Struthio camelus: one gene and its partner. The protein of the gene in region 2 purifies or fractionates together with the protein of the main gene of each other region. This does not show direct contact. Links are inferred from orthologs where the notes say so. Each region holds a gene or a part of one and is shown on either strand. Other genes may lie near its edges.

What was found. Proteins that work in one complex are often made in the same cells at the same time.
Region 1: the proteins of WWOX (region 2) and WBP2 purify together in Homo sapiens (affinity purification with mass spectrometry; 3 studies listed by BioGRID and IntAct, with this or other methods). This does not show direct contact. The link is inferred for Struthio camelus from reciprocal best matches to the Homo sapiens genes WWOX and WBP2.

What each region holds. Positions count from the first base shown.
Region 1 is NC_090960.1:8,821,681-8,829,116, reverse strand, and holds the start of WBP2 (WW domain-binding protein 2), read left to right. Parts: upstream 1-4,423; 5' UTR 4,424-4,438; coding exon 4,439-4,650; intron 4,651-6,078; coding exon 6,079-6,187; intron 6,188-6,730; coding exon 6,731-6,866; intron 6,867-7,436. Other genes in the region: E3 ubiquitin-protein ligase TRIM47, read left to right, coding at 3,554-3,668. UniProt on the Homo sapiens protein: Acts as a transcriptional coactivator of estrogen and progesterone receptors (ESR1 and PGR) upon hormone activation. In presence of estrogen, binds to ESR1-responsive promoters. Synergizes with YAP1 to enhance PGR activity.
Region 2 is NC_090951.1:7,865,431-7,873,038, reverse strand, and holds the start of WWOX (WW domain-containing oxidoreductase), read left to right. Parts: upstream 1-4,600; 5' UTR 4,601-4,691; coding exon 4,692-4,798; intron 4,799-7,592; coding exon 7,593-7,608. UniProt on the Homo sapiens protein: Putative oxidoreductase. Acts as a tumor suppressor and plays a role in apoptosis. Required for normal bone development. May function synergistically with p53/TP53 to control genotoxic stress-induced cell death.

The DNA of each region.
Region 1 (7,436 bases), on a different chromosome or scaffold from region 2:
TGGCATGAGTGAGTCACTGATGACGCATCGGCCTCCAAAGGCATGGAAAATGGCCCATTTATCTATATATATGAAAAAATATATATCTCCCAGAGGATGAGCTGGAAATCATAGTAGTATATTCAAGGGGAGCCAGGGAGAAAAGGCAGACACATGGCCAAGAGGTTTAAAGCTAAAGCCGCATTTACATAAACACTGAGGCTTAAAGAGCTCCTTTACTGTAACTAGTCAAAGGGCCCTGATTTACCGGCGCTGCCAAATCCTGCTACCGCAGGGAGAGGGGCTGCTCTCCGGCTGCCCGTCCGTCCCCCTGCCAAAGCTACCACCTCCGCGGCGCGTCCAAGCTGGACGTGCCAGCGACGACCACCGCTATCGGGTCCCAGCGGGAGGACGGGAGGGTGCGAATGCAGCTGGCGGACTGATGTGCCAGCTCTGAGCCCCCCGCCGAGCGCTGCTGCCGCCCCGTGCCCTGGGCACGGGGACGGAGGGCTGGAAGGATCAGCCGTCGTTGCCCTAGGTGCTCTCGGGGCCCGTATCTCGGACCTGGTGGAGGCGGTGAGCCCTGAAACCCTGCAAGCGGTGGGAAAAGGGAAGGTATGTCTTTCAGCGCTAAATCTTCGGATGAAATCTCGGTTTTTTGCTGGTCAGTGGGAATGTTGCCTGGACTCGTGTCCGGACAGGATTGTGCTCCTCGCGTCCTGAGCTCCTGCCTCAAAAACGCTTTGTTTCCCTCGCGCCAGCCTTTCCTGCCAATCTTTGCCTTTGCGTGAGCTGTCGGCGGTGACATAGCACAGGGATGGGTGCTGTTTTGTTAACACCAGGGAGGACTCGCTATCAGAAATAGTGTAACCAGATTAAAGAGCTAGAGATGTGCAACAGCCCATGCTTGGCTGTGTCCCAAGAGGAAGAGGAAGGTAACCTTGATCTCTGCTGAACGCCTGCAGGAAGAGATCCTGCTTGTGGGCCAACATCTCGGCTCTGTCTGGGCCCCAAATGTGACTGTTATTCAGGCGAAACTCCCACCGTTTGCAGCGAGGAGTTTTGCCAGAGTAAACAGAGCAGATCTGGGCCGTTGCCCTGTTTTGCATGGCCGTAGGCAGCTCGATTACACCCTGGAGGGACCGCGCGCTTGGGGAGCCGCGGAGCCCTCCCTGCTCCATCGCGCCCAACGCGGAGATGCAAGTCTCTGAACCCCTGCAGGGTCTGGGATGGCTTGGAGGGATCCTACGCTTTTCCCTTTCCTCTCTGTCCCTGTTGCCAAGGGGGAATTGCCGTGCGTCCGGGCTCTGCTTCCGGTGGTGCCTTGGCTTTCTGCGGTCGAGGGCCAGTTGCTTAATTCATCTTTGCCTCATTAGCTGGGATGCGGATACACAGCTTTACAGAGGATTTCAAGGGCTTCTGTAGATGTGATGCAGCTGGAAAGCATTATCAAAACCTCCCCTTCCTGTTGCTGCTTTTCATTCTGGTTGAAAGTGCTATAAATCCTCATGTTTCAGGGCATAAAGCAAATTCTAAACAATTTCAGATGGGAACAATCCTCCAGGCTGTTGGACCAGAGTTTGCTCAGACACGTTGATCCTGTCTTCCCAATAATTTGTGGTGTAAACTGGAATGATTAGGAAATGTGCATTACACCAACCCTGGATCTCTGATTTTTGCTGCAAATGAAAGGATAAGTGTGGTGGGTTTAGATAGATAGCACTGTGCAATTTAAATAGCCTTTCTGTGTTCTCCTGAGTTATTTCTGCTGTCACAGAGTGTTCCTCTTTTTAATTAGGATTATTTTTTAAATATACAGTTACTGTAGAGTCTTTTACAGTGTGTGAAGAAACTGTAACGGAATAATATAATGATATTAGAGACTATGAATTGCCATTAAATATTATACAGACATAGCTCTTGGTTTGTCTTTCCTTTAAATACCAAACTAGAAGAGTTGTCCGATTACCTCCTGTTTATTTTTCTGTGTCCTGTACATCTGGCTTAAAATAACAAGAGATTTTATTTTCCACGTGTGTCAAAAGGAATTGAGCCAAATATTTATTTTTATTGCTCGATTGCAAAAGGAATGGAAGAATCCTAGAATCCAATAGTGATATTGCCAGTCCTGGGCAATTCAAAATATTAACTTGTCTCACTTTTCTCTTTGGGTCTCTTCTACCTCTGTCCTCAGCTTAACAATAATGAAATTAAGTAGTTTAGGCACTTTTTTCCTTAGAGTTTTAAGTTTTTAGAGTGTAAATTTCCAACGTTTTTTATGTAATGAGGCGGTCCAGAGATCTCCACGCACACAAGCACTTGTACCAGTAGCATTTTTTAAACAAAGGCTGAGTTTCTTAATACCAAACCTCTACAAGAAAAACACCATTATCGGGCAAGCTGTGACTCATGAGAGGTGGCAGTGCTTCAGCTGGGAACTTCAGTGGAAGCTGAGTGGATGTTTGCTACTGCCTTTAATAGGAGAGGAATCAGGACTGTTTATTATAACAGTTTCTTAAAAGGGAAACTTACAGCTTATTAAAAAGCGGATATGAAAAGCACAACTTTGCTTTTTTCTTGCCAAGAACTATACAGATTATGTCACTGCATTTATTTAAATCTGGTTTCCATTATGCAGCTTTTCTCCTTTCCCCTACTCCATCTGATTCTTAGGTGCTCAGGCAGGGCTGGAGGGGGCTGGGCTGCAAACCCTGCAGGGAAAAGTTCAAATCCATTAAAAGTAATTTAGAAAAATATATGTTATCAATATATTTGCATAGTATATAGGTTATTGATATGAAGAAATGTTCAGAACAGATTGATTAGCTTTAAAGGGCTTCTATTTTAAACAAAAGTATGCAACCATAATTTTTTAAAAGTTACTCCCACCTCCTTGCTTGCCCACCTGGAGGCAGTAGACTATACTCATAGTATAGCTATGCAAATGCCACAGATATTTTCCTGTTCCCAGATTTCTTCCAGACGTGCCTTAGAGTCCCTTCAGTTTAACTCTCTTGAAGATAAAGGCTTAATTTTACAAACCAAAAGCAGGGTGATTTCTGCACAGAGAGCATTTAATATTGGGCTCCAAAGTCTGTTTGCAAGCATCTGTAACACAACGTGTGCGTCAAGCATCTGAATTGAAAAACAGTTGGAAACTCTACGCATCCTTGCTGTGAAAGGCACTGGGCCTCATTTTAGATAAAGCATCACCAGCTATCTGAGATGCTTTTTTTACTCTGCATTACCAAATACCTGAATTTGCCCTGGCCACCTACTGAGAGTCCAATTCTGTCTCCGTTTCATTTATTTCTGGCTTTTCCCTGGGAGATCCTGCCAAGCAGCATTAAAATCACTTATGGTTGCACGTGGCATGCAAACAGCTCCCCCTTTACATGTTAAACTGGACGACATCCCAGGAAAAGCGAATATTTCATGTGCTAGCGGGCTGGCCTGGAAACGCCTTCGGGAAAAAGCGACGGTGCAAGCCGCAACAAAATACAGCGTTTTAGGACGAAACGGCAATTTGAGCAGTGCCAGAGGTTTTTTTGCTTTGCTTTTTTTTGCTTTGCAGGCTCCTACCCAGGCAGCGCAACTTTTCCAGGGCGCCCGTGCGAACGCCACGGAGCCGTCTGAAACGGGAAGCCAGGAAGACCGCGGCCGAGTCAAGCAGGCTCCAAACAACTTAAACCGTGTTATTATATACGGTGAGAGGGACATGTAACCAGATGATTAACAGGTTTCTCAGCGCTTCAGAGAGTCCTCCCGAGGAGCAGGAGAGCGGATCTTCGGATTATCCCTGCTGCTCCCTGCAGAGAGCATAAAGAGGGGGTTTAATAACATATGAACGGCGACTTTTAGCCCACTAAAAGTAATATTGAGTATAAAGCGATTATAAAACAGTTGACTTTTGGCTCTCGGCTGGAATCCCTTAGAATATCTGTAAGGCACCAAGCGCACGTGGTGCCGCCGGGCAGCGCGGGGAGGAATTTGTCGTTCGCCTCGGTATCCACCGCAAACATTTCCCCGTTCAGCCGCGGCGGGCGCCCTGAGGGCCACGCGCGAGCCCGGCGGGGCTCCCGCTTTTAGCGAGGGCGAGCCGTTGTCGGCATGAACGTGCTGGGAGAGGTAGCGTATTTTAGGAGGCTAACTTCAGCAGCTGGGGAACAGAGACAAGCTTTCAGGCCCAGGCAGAGCGGCGCGGTGCGAGGGAGCCGCGTCTCCGCCTCCCGCTCCCACAAACGTCCCTTGTTTTGTACAAAAGCCCTACTGATTGCCAGGCCTTGAGGGATGGCTAGAGCCCCTGGGGCTTTGGGGGGCACGACGGAGGCGGTGAGCGAGGCCGCGGGGCCTGATGCTGGGCAGAAAAGGGATGGGAGCGCCCCGCAAGCCGGCCCGGCCCCCGCTGCAGCCTGTCCCGGGCAGCCCACGGGGCGCTAAGGGCTGCTGAGGAGGGAACATGGCGCCCGCTGGGCTGCAGGGGGACTACAACTCCCAGCATGCGCTGGGGGGAGGGAAGCGCGCCCCGTCGCGTCGTGACGTCACGGGCGGCCGCTATCCGCCGGGCGCAGGCGCAGAGCAGGCTGGGTGCTGCGAGGAGGCGGCGGCGGCCATGGCGCTGAACAGGAACCACTCGGAGGGCGGCGGCGTCATCGTTAACAACAGCGAGAGGTGAGGTGCCCCCACCGCGCCCGCCGCCATCTCCTCGGGGAAGTAGGGGGGCGGCCTCCCTCCCCTCACGGGGGGAAGCGTTAGGGCGCCGCGGGCCGGGTGGGGGCGGGGCCCCCCGTGCCTGGAGCGGGGTGGGGGGAGGGTTTAACCATTTCAGTGCCCCCCCCGGCGGGGGTCGGGCTGTTGCCCCCCTTCCCCCCCCCCCCCAGCCCGGGCCCCCATCTCGCCGCTCTGCCGCCCGCGCAACGGGAAGCCTCCACGGAGCTGCCCCCGCCTGCCGGGCGGTGGGCGGCCCTCGCCCCGTGTGCCCGCCCGGCGCCCCGGTCCCGACCCGGCGGGGCAGTCAGCTGCTCCCGAGACAGAAGAGGGGTTCATTCCGCAGGGCTCCTTTCCGTGAGGCCAGCTGGAAGATTGGTACGGGAGTTATGCCCCTGACTGCCATTAGGGGTATGAACCTTCCTCTGAGAATTCGGGGAAACTCTTGTCTGTGGCTTAAGTTTGCGTTCGCTGACGTAAAACATCTGGCTGCTTAATGTGCTCCCAGCTGCCAGCCTACCTGGGGTCGGAAGTTATCTGCGCTATAACCGGCAAAGCGGATGCGTGCCCGTGCCGCAGCCCAAGCTGCGCGCATTGTTGATTCGGCTCATATGCTGTATAGTGACTAAAGCCACTGCCCCCTCAGCCTTCCCTGGGCTTTTGCTGTGGGGGCAAGTACCCACTGGCAGAAGGGAAAGGCGAATGACTAGGGATGGTAACATGTACGTTGCCAAAGATAAATGCAGCAGAGGCTTGTCCAGCTTTGAATGTTAGCGTGTCTAGTGTGGATGTTGTGTTAATACCTGCTACCTTCTGCATCCATAGAAGGGTGTTGCACCCGTTTTAACCGGGTCAGTTTCTAATTGAGCATTAAGGAGTCAGGGCGGACACCACAGGTTAACAAACTCTAGTGACAAAAAAGAGATGTTCCTCTGATTGCGTTTTTATGATAGAAGTGCTTAAGCTGAGGTTAGACGCTCAACAGCCTTGTCGCATAAGCCAGCTTAAGCAGTTCCTGCCTCTGCACTCCTTCCTCTGTTGTGTTGCTTGTGGCAAACCAAATTAGGGAACTGATCCAGCAGAAATGCAACGCAAGTTTTTTAAAAAAACAAAAATCAGATCTTGATCAGTTTAATTGACTAGATTCACTACCTGCCTATGCGAATGGCTGTAGCAGTGCCAGCACACTGAGGAAGAAGCACAAGGCTGGGAACAAGTAGATAGTACTGCTTAAGTTGTTCCTGCCAACAAAAAAACAAGTCAAACTGATACATCTGCTGAGCGTTTGGCTGAGATTAAAGCTCGTTTTGGTTGGTCAATAGACTATATTCATGCTGAACCACAGTGTTGAGCTGTAACACTGTGTCTCTTCTCTTGTTGTCTTGTTTGTAGCGTTTTGATGACCTATGATCACATAGAAGTTTCCTTCAGTGATATCGAACCTATGCCAGATGCCTTCAAAGGGACCAAGAAAGGGAGTGTTTTCTTGACTCCCTACCGAGTAAGTAGTAAAAGGCATTATCTTGCCTAAGGAGATAAGAGCTCTTTTCAATTCTGTGTTTAAATGTTCTCAGTGCATGAAAGTTGGGATAACCTACTGCCGCTTGAAGTATGGCTCATCCCCTCCCTCTGGGGAGCATTATGAATTCATTGCACGTCCAGTCACTTTGTCAAAAGATGATAAAATCTGATTAGTTCTTATACAGACAGCTGCTTACTCTATCAGGCATCTTCAAGATTGGAAATTAGCAGTGGTCTGGAAGTGCTGAATGTAACAGTTAAGCTACTAAATCATAGCTGTGTGGAGCTGGGAGTTCTTTAGAAATTGGGAGGAGTATTATCTGAGCAAGGATAACGTTTCTAGAAGGCACTTTACATTATTGCATTGAAGCTTTAGTTTAGCCTTGTTGCTCTTTGCAGAATTGACTAGAAGTTTCAGATGTGGGAAGCAGCTTCAGTGCATTGAAAACTCTTTTCAAATAAGAAGTTCAACTGTGTTTCCTGCTTGTTTTAAACACTCTTCGTGATGTTCTTTTCTTTTCAGGTTATCTTTGTATCAAAGGGAAAGGATGCTATGCAGTCTTTCATGATGCCCTTTTATTTGTTGAAAGATTGTGAGATTAAGCAGCCTGTTTTTGGAGCAAATTATATCAAGGGTACAGTGAAAGCAGAGGCAGGAGGTATGTATTATACAGACGTGCAGTTGAACTAAGATGGAGAACATCTAATTCACAGCGAAGTAAGTATCCAGTTTGACCTAAACTGGATACTGACCAGATGGATTTTTACAGTCCCGCTAAAATGTGTTTCTTTCTTTAAAACCAGTAGCTAAAAATATTTCCCTTGTCTGCTTCCTGTACAGTTACAATGAAGAGATCTGTTCTGTAACTGATCTCATTCCTGCCCTCTGTACAAAATATTAAGTTCAGTCAGCCAAGTGATCTCACTGACTGAACATCGGAGCAGAGATCAGACTGTGTCAGCAAGACTGAGGATATCATTTAGTTTTGGTCAGTTAGGGTTATCTATTAATTCTTCATCCAGATCCTTCTACGCAAAACGCTTCTGATTCTTTCCAAGACCTATGTTGGTTTTCAGATGCAGATCGCCAGAGTATTGTTCTCTGTCATTAGTTTCTTGTACAGTTCAAGGAAAGGCATGTTATTGCACCAGTGTATCTTAGCAGTAAAAACGACACTTTCTGGGGAAAGAACAGGCTATTTTGAAATTCAGGAGTCTTCAAGGGGCTG
Region 2 (7,608 bases):
TCAACCTTTCAATGCCTACAGGACGGATATAGAAGCCAGGGTGAATGAACTGACTGCATCACATCCTGTGTAGCAGGAGACTCTCTAAGATCACAGCAGCCTTCATTGAGGGGGACAATGTTTTTGTCACTGTGGGAGAAATTGTTGCCCGAATGCTGTATGTATCTTGATACTGGTAAGACTGGAATTTGTCTCACAGGGTTTATGCACGCTGATACATATTACGATTTGGAAAATAAAGAAACCTTTTGGTCATGCAAAACAAAAAGAAAGGAAATGTATTACTGTCAGTGCGTTGGGGCACTCAAGGCCAAATATACTTTAACTTAAGTTTAAAATAAACAAATACCATGAAGAATTACTAGTATATGAGGCAAAACAGCCTAAAGCTCTTGGAAATAACAATACACAGGCTGAAAGTATAGCTGAACACTGCCTCATCCTTTGGATTATTTGACTTCTAGTTTTCTGCAGTGGATGTCTGCTGCAGCGTAAAGAAGTTGGAGAGCAACAGAAAGTTCTTACTGAAATATGAGTGAAAAGAAGACAAAGTCATGTCCTTTTCGATGTCTATCCAAAAACAATTAGATACTACTTCCTACCATTAATTTTCTTGCCATTTTGAACTAAACTAGTACTTCCATTGGTCACATGTCACAGTTTGCATGTAAGGACATCTAATATGATCCTGCACTTTCATTTCCACATTGTGCACATTTGAGAACAAATAGATATTAAACTATTACACTAATAAAATGTAGACTTTACAATATTCAAATACGGCCTATCTCAGGTTAATGATGTCACAAGCATGTCAAGACAGACTTGTTTTCCACAATTTCTTTCATCTCAGTAGTATACCGTTTTCTCTGGAAATACAGCTTTCTCTGGAAATACAATCATAGAATCACAAAAATAAATAGGAATCACTATTTTAGATTTACCTTATGACTGTGATTCCAACTCTTCAGTTTTCATGGAGGTTTCACAGTTAAATTCCATATACAAAATGTCCTTTAGATTGCTTTTAGAGGAAATTGGAAGATCCTCAAAAGCATTATCTATTTAAATTGTATTTAACTTTGAAATGTTGTTGAAAATGGAATTATTATGTGTAAGTAGATAAAATTCTTGAAATTTCTAAAAATAATTTTGGTTAAAAACTTAGGGATTTCAGAAGTTTAAACCACTCTCATAACTTGTATGAAAGTGATCTACTGGACATTTCAATGGAGATCTGTGTTTATTGACACCACAAAAATAAACATTTGTTCAGTTGAAGGATCTGGTACATTCACAGTAGGCAGTAGCTCAAATATTCATTTATCATGTTCTAGTGGATTAAAACCGTAGCCTCAAGCAGAGTTCACTGCTTTATCTAATGCTGAGGTACGACGGGCATGAACCATGGATGCAGGATTTTCCCCTGAAAAGAAACAGCTGTAGCCTATATAAACATGTTCTGACAGCTGCGGAAAAATTATGACCTGATAATTGTTCAGAATTTTGTCATACTCCTAAACCGTGATTTCTGACAAACAGACACATGCTCTATCAAAGGGTGAGTCAACATTTTGCTGTGCATCTGGATACTTTTACAATATATCATGATTCTTTCTCTCTTGTCCAGATAACTCTCAGTATCAAATTCTTTGACAAATAAATCAGTACCCAAATCTTTGACAAGCAATGGCCATGACTCAAAAAAGTATATAAGTCTGTGACTGACACTTGAGGAAATGTTAAGATTTTGGCTGCCTCAGGCTTGCCAGTGGAATTATATGACCAAATTTACATCTATGTTTCTAATGGAGAAACCAGCCAAATACGTGTGATCTTGATGGTTTAAAGTACAGCTAACAGAAAATGAGATTAAGATTCTAATTAACATTTGTTATTGTGAAAACAACAACCATTTCTAAATGTCTTCTTGTTTTAATTTATGCACTTTCTGGCAGGCTGTGGAATTAATCTTAGTCTGAGAGGCTTAGAATGATCAGAAGAATTAATTTAGAGGATTGGTACAGCAATGGATCAGAATGATATCTTTGAAGCACTTTCTGCTAAAAAAACAACACTCAAAGCAAGTGACAGAAGTTTTTAAGCAGAACGGACTATTTACTACCCTGTTTGAATGAACATCCCTGTAATAACTAACAAACAGACCCATTCTTTTTCTGCAGTGCAATAAAATGGGTAGTAATTTTACACATACACACACAGAAGCTGGAGAAAATGGCAAAGGACATCTCTGACCCTTTCAAAGGGAATGTATCTTCCATTTGCCACAATTTTCAATTGGAAAACATGGCTGAATTTCGACATGCTTTGAAATAACTCAGTAAATAACATGAGTGGCCAAATTATCAAAACTTGTGACTTCTTTTTTCCAATGAAAATATTCTGAAAAGTAGGAGGCAGTTAAAAGTACTGTGGAAGAATTGTGAAAAGTAGCATAACTGTTGGAGTCTCTGTTGATTCTTAAGTTTGAAAGAAGAAAGTGTGAGATTTCTCATTTTTTTCAAAGAAATTGAAATTTCACTGAAAATATTATAAGCCATAGGACTTCTATTATTCATGCACTAGGGTAGAGCTTCAAGGGAATTTGTTACTCTCCATGTTGCTCGGTCAAACAAAGTCTTGCCTCTTTCTTCGCGGCATTAATATTTTTACGTGAAAGGTAGTGTTTCTAGTTAGTGCATAATATATACATATACATACACATGCCTACTACTCAGATGCTCTTTTTTTTTCTTATCTACAGTGCACTATACCTTCTTTACATTCAGATACTGCAATGCTGCTTTTTATATCTAGGACAAAATGTATCCTTCATGTAATACAGACGGTTGGGATAGGATGACTATTAGACCAATTATTTCCAAGTTCTCATGGATCGCAAAGAATGAAATGTTTGGTGCCGAATACTCAAGAGACTGTAACAGGAAGAAACCTAATAACTATTTTTACACTACTACTGCTAGATTAATATCTTATTTTTTAATTAAAAAAAAATGACTTAAGCTAGTTTCTTGAGACCTGGCACATCCCTCCATTCAGTCACCTATGACCATCACCTGCTTCCTGGTTTAGAAGTAAGCATGTCACCGAAGTTTCCCTTCCCAAGAGAGTATGATTACAGTGTTTTTCAGTACTCTCAGAAATAGTCCCAAGAAAATTGCTGCCTGAGGAAGCATGAGTATTTATCTCTAACAGGAGGAGATAATTCAGTAGGTGTAATTTCTGAGAGGAATATGCAAAGTGATGGAGCAGCAGGGCAGAAAAAAGTTCATGTTCCTTTTTCTAGACAGACAGGCACACTAGTAGTGGGGAGTGAGTGAGCCATATAGGTCAGTGCCTCAAACAGTGCATAAAAATGTTACCCAAAGGAGTTAGGGTGCTTTACTGTATTTGTGTGGCTGCACTGCCACCTGGTGCAGTCTCCAGTGATTACAGCCACTGTCCAACAGTGGGGTTTGCTTTTTTTTTTTTGCTTAAAAAAACCTGCCAAAGGACTACAGTGGGAAGACGCTGTTACAAATGCTAACAATTAGCTTTAGTTACACAAATACATATGAGGCTGTCAGCACACGGGTACCTGACCAAAAGCATTATCGGCAGTCAGGGGAAGTACTCTGTGTCAGCTGAATAATGATACTGCACAATGCAATTCTCCTGTCCCAGCTGCAAAGTAGCATGCCTTTGCCTTAACTACCATGACAGAGGTTTTTGTCATTTGCTATTAACTCATTACCTTGTAGTGCCTCAGTCCTTGAAAATGACCATCAGGTTTGTGCCACTGGATGACCCAGGTTTGGAAGAGGGGCCTTAGGAGCAGGCTGGGCAGCCTGGCCTGCCGGCCCTCAGGGCAGGAGTTCCTCCCTTGCCTCACGCTCCATGATGGCGCACTGATACTTACACATCGCAGGCAGATACTGCTCTCAGACGAGAAGACAAGCCAGGTCTTCCTCACTAGGCGAAGGACATCGAGACGCTCTCATGCCCCAAGGCCGGGAAGCGCGGCCCGGCGAGGGCTGGAGGCGACCGCCCCCGGGTGCTGCCCAAGCGGCGTGCGGAGCGGGCGAAGGCTGCAGCTGCCGCCCGCACCTAGGCCCTGCCACGCGGCCTGAGCTTGAGGGCAGCACGGGCTGCTGCCAGCGGCCTCCTTCCCTAGGCCTCCCCCTCTGACTCTTCCGTGTACTGCTAGCATCAAAAAGCTTTAGAAACAGTTCATTTTCCGTTGCTTTCCGGGGCTTGGCCTGCCTCCTTGGCTCCGCACTTGTCTCTGGAAAAGGGAGCACTTAACCTCCCCCTCCCCGCAAACCTCGGATTCTCGAGCCACCTGTGAAGGTTTCAACTCACTCCGGGGCTCCTTAGGGGGAAAACCTCGGTAACACACGCAAAAATCGCCCGATTCAGGGCGAAGCTGCCGCTGGGCCACTGCCCTCGCGTGACGCAGCTCCGGCCGCCGCCGCCGCGAGATGGCGCCGCCGGGGCCGCGGGGAGCCGCTCCCGCCCCCGCCCCCCGGGCCCCCGCCCCCGCCCCGCGTCACCGCCCGCCGGACTACACTTCCCAGAGTGCCCTCGGCCCGCCGCGCCGCGCGATTGGCTGGCCCGGCCGGAAGGGGCGGTCTCGCGCGCGCCCGCTGGCTGGTGAAGCGGCGGCGAGGCTGCGTGGAGCCCCCGTCCTAATGGCGGCGCTGAAGTACGCGGGGCTGGAGGACACGGACAGCGAGGAGGAGCTGCCGCCCGGTTGGGAGGAGCGGACCACCAAAGACGGCTGGGTTTACTACGCCAAGTAAGGGAGCGGCGGGGCGGGCTCGCCCGGAGCCTCGCGCCGCGGGGCATGGCGGGCGGGGGCTGCCCCCCTCTTCCCCTCAGCGTGGGGGAGGCGGGAGCCGCCATTTCCCGCCCGCCCTGCGCAGGGCGGAGCCGGCGGCGGAGCCGGCGCTTGGGTCGCCTCGGGGCGGGGGAGGGGGGGAACCATCTCTCCGCGACTCCGTTTCTGCTTTTGGTGCCCTCCTGGGGCCGCTGAGGATAAAAGCGTGGCAGAGGTGGGCTCGGCCCCCCGGCGCTATCCGCCCTGTGCGGACCTTCGCAGGTAGAAGGAGAGGAGGACTGGGAGATAAATCCTGCCTAACAGGGAGGAGATAGGTTAGTGCGGTACCGGCCACCTGGGCAGAGCCCTAGCCTCCCACCTTGTGGGGCAGCGATGGGGGAGCGCAGGGAGACGCGCCTGGCTACGGGAGTCCGTTGGAGCACGGCTGTGGCGGTGTTGCAGTGCGCTTTATGGCTCAGAGCGTACCTTCTGCGCCCTGTGGGGCGCGACGCAGGCAACCGAGCCTTACGCAGTATTGCAGTTCTCTTAGTTTTCCTCCTTGCAGGAGTAGAGAAGACAGTTAGTCAAGTTAGTCGTGGCACGTGCAGTAGAAATTAAAAACGCTAAGTGCTCACCCCCAGCTCTGCAGTATACCACGGCTTTGACAAGAGATACAAATTCGCCTGAGGCACCATCTGCTGTGCCGCTTTGAAAACTGTCAAATCCCCACCAGTTACAAAAGAGTGCTGGATTAACAGGATTAACTCAGTGGAATATATGTTTACATATTTTTCTCCTCTCTTATGGTTTCCTATAATTGTGCTGATCTTGGAGTCTGTGTTTCAGTTCATTTAAAACTAAAAGGCTTGCCCGCTCCCATAAAAAGGGGTAAAAGTATAGTGCAGACAGCTTGCCTTATCTGTAGTGAGTTGGCTTCTTCTTCCCAAACTCTGATCTGCAAGCGCTAGAGAAAATGTTTTTTATTTGATATTTAGCTTATAAGCACTGCTAATTCTGTCTAGTCAATTGCTGATCTTAGGTCAGGTTTCCTTATATGCTCCTTCCCTATAGAAGCCCTTTCAAAAAGGGAATCACTAGGTGATCTTAGAAAACCTGTAAAACAGTCAGGTATTGCCTCTTAGCATGAGCAGCCGTTTGTATACGAACAATTAATGTAGTAGGCGTGGTTGTTAGCTGCTGTGAAACTGAGTTAACTCTGTTTAAACTAATAACAAGGTCCATCTTCACTAGCTAAGAGTTTGCGAGTGTGGAAATACAGCTCAGATGGAAAAGGTGTTATGCTATTGCTGCCTGAATATAAGCTCTGCACCTGTATGTTACCTTTGCAGATTCTGAAAATATATTTTTAAACCTTATCAACGCTAACAACTTTAGGCTGAGCTACAGTAGAGTTACTTTCATTTAGGACTTTTAAAGGTCCTTTTGATGAGCTGGGCATGCATGTGGTTATTTACCAAAGCTCAGTGGTTGTGCATGCATGTGTTTGTGAAGCTATGAGAATTTGGTTATGTATTTTGCACCCGACAGGAGTCGGGAATAAATAGGTTAATGCTACACATCAGGTAAAATATGACAGTTTTCATTTTATAGGGGGACTCAGGATCATATTTATCTCTAGAATGTGAGTGTCCTGAAATTCAAGTGCTACTGCGGGTCATATATATGCACCCATTTAATCTTAGACCATCTAGCTCTGATTCCTATAATAGAATTGTGATGTGCTGCTTACTGTGGCTCAACTGCCTGTTTATTTTTTCAAGCTGAAATGAATTGCTTTTCTTGTATATGCTTCGCTGTTGATACCAGATCTTGAGTTTAGTGTTTATTTGTGTATGCATTCAGTAGTTCTTCCTATTCATTTCATACTCAGGCAGCTATTAGTTGGGACACTCTTTCAAATAATCCCTGCCTGACTCTTAAACGCTTGGTTATTGTCTCTAATAATTGATGGAAGATAAAATATTAATATCCAGACTGATTTCAGTGCTCTGGTTCTGTTAAGACCTTAACCTTGTTTGTATGCGCATTGCTTTGCTTACTAGTGTGCAGTGCAAAAAACTTCATGGTACAGTTAATGAATAGCTGATTCAGTTACAGTGATTTAAGTGGAAAAAATGATCTCTAAATTAGAAGATAAGATGTGATATCTTTATCATCCCCATTAAGTAGTCTGCTCTTCAAGGCCTTTAGGATAAGCTCTCCTATTTAAAGATGCGGTTGCTCATGTAGAAATCCAAACTTGTTTACCTTGCAGCTTACAAATCAACATGATTAGAAATTAGTTTTAGAAAGGGGCTCTTCTCTTTTGAAGACTCCTAATATTACTTTGATTAGCTTCTGATAGTCTTTTGCTGCTGCTTCTTTCTTCCCTTCCAAGGGCCACCATCTTGAAGGGAAATTGTCCAAGTCTGTTAATGTTATGCTTTAATTACTCAAGCGATTTTCTTTCTTTTTGTAAGCAACAAGACTTAGATTAGAAGTTAAATGTTGACTTGAACTTTTGTAGACTCCTATGCTGTCTGGCTAGTTATTTTTCCCTCAGAGTGTGGCAAAATGGAAGCCTGTTAGCTTCTAGCAGCACCTTTAAAGCCCCTTAAACGAGGGATTGGCATGTTTCTTTTTTTTTTTCCATGGGAGACAAGCCATGTTCTGTGCTGAATTGGAGGGGGGGAAAAAAAAAGCCCCTGATTGGAGTGCACCAGAAGGAGCTGTTTTAAATCTTCATTAAACTTTTTGTTTGTTTGTTTTCCAGTCACCTTGAAGAAAAA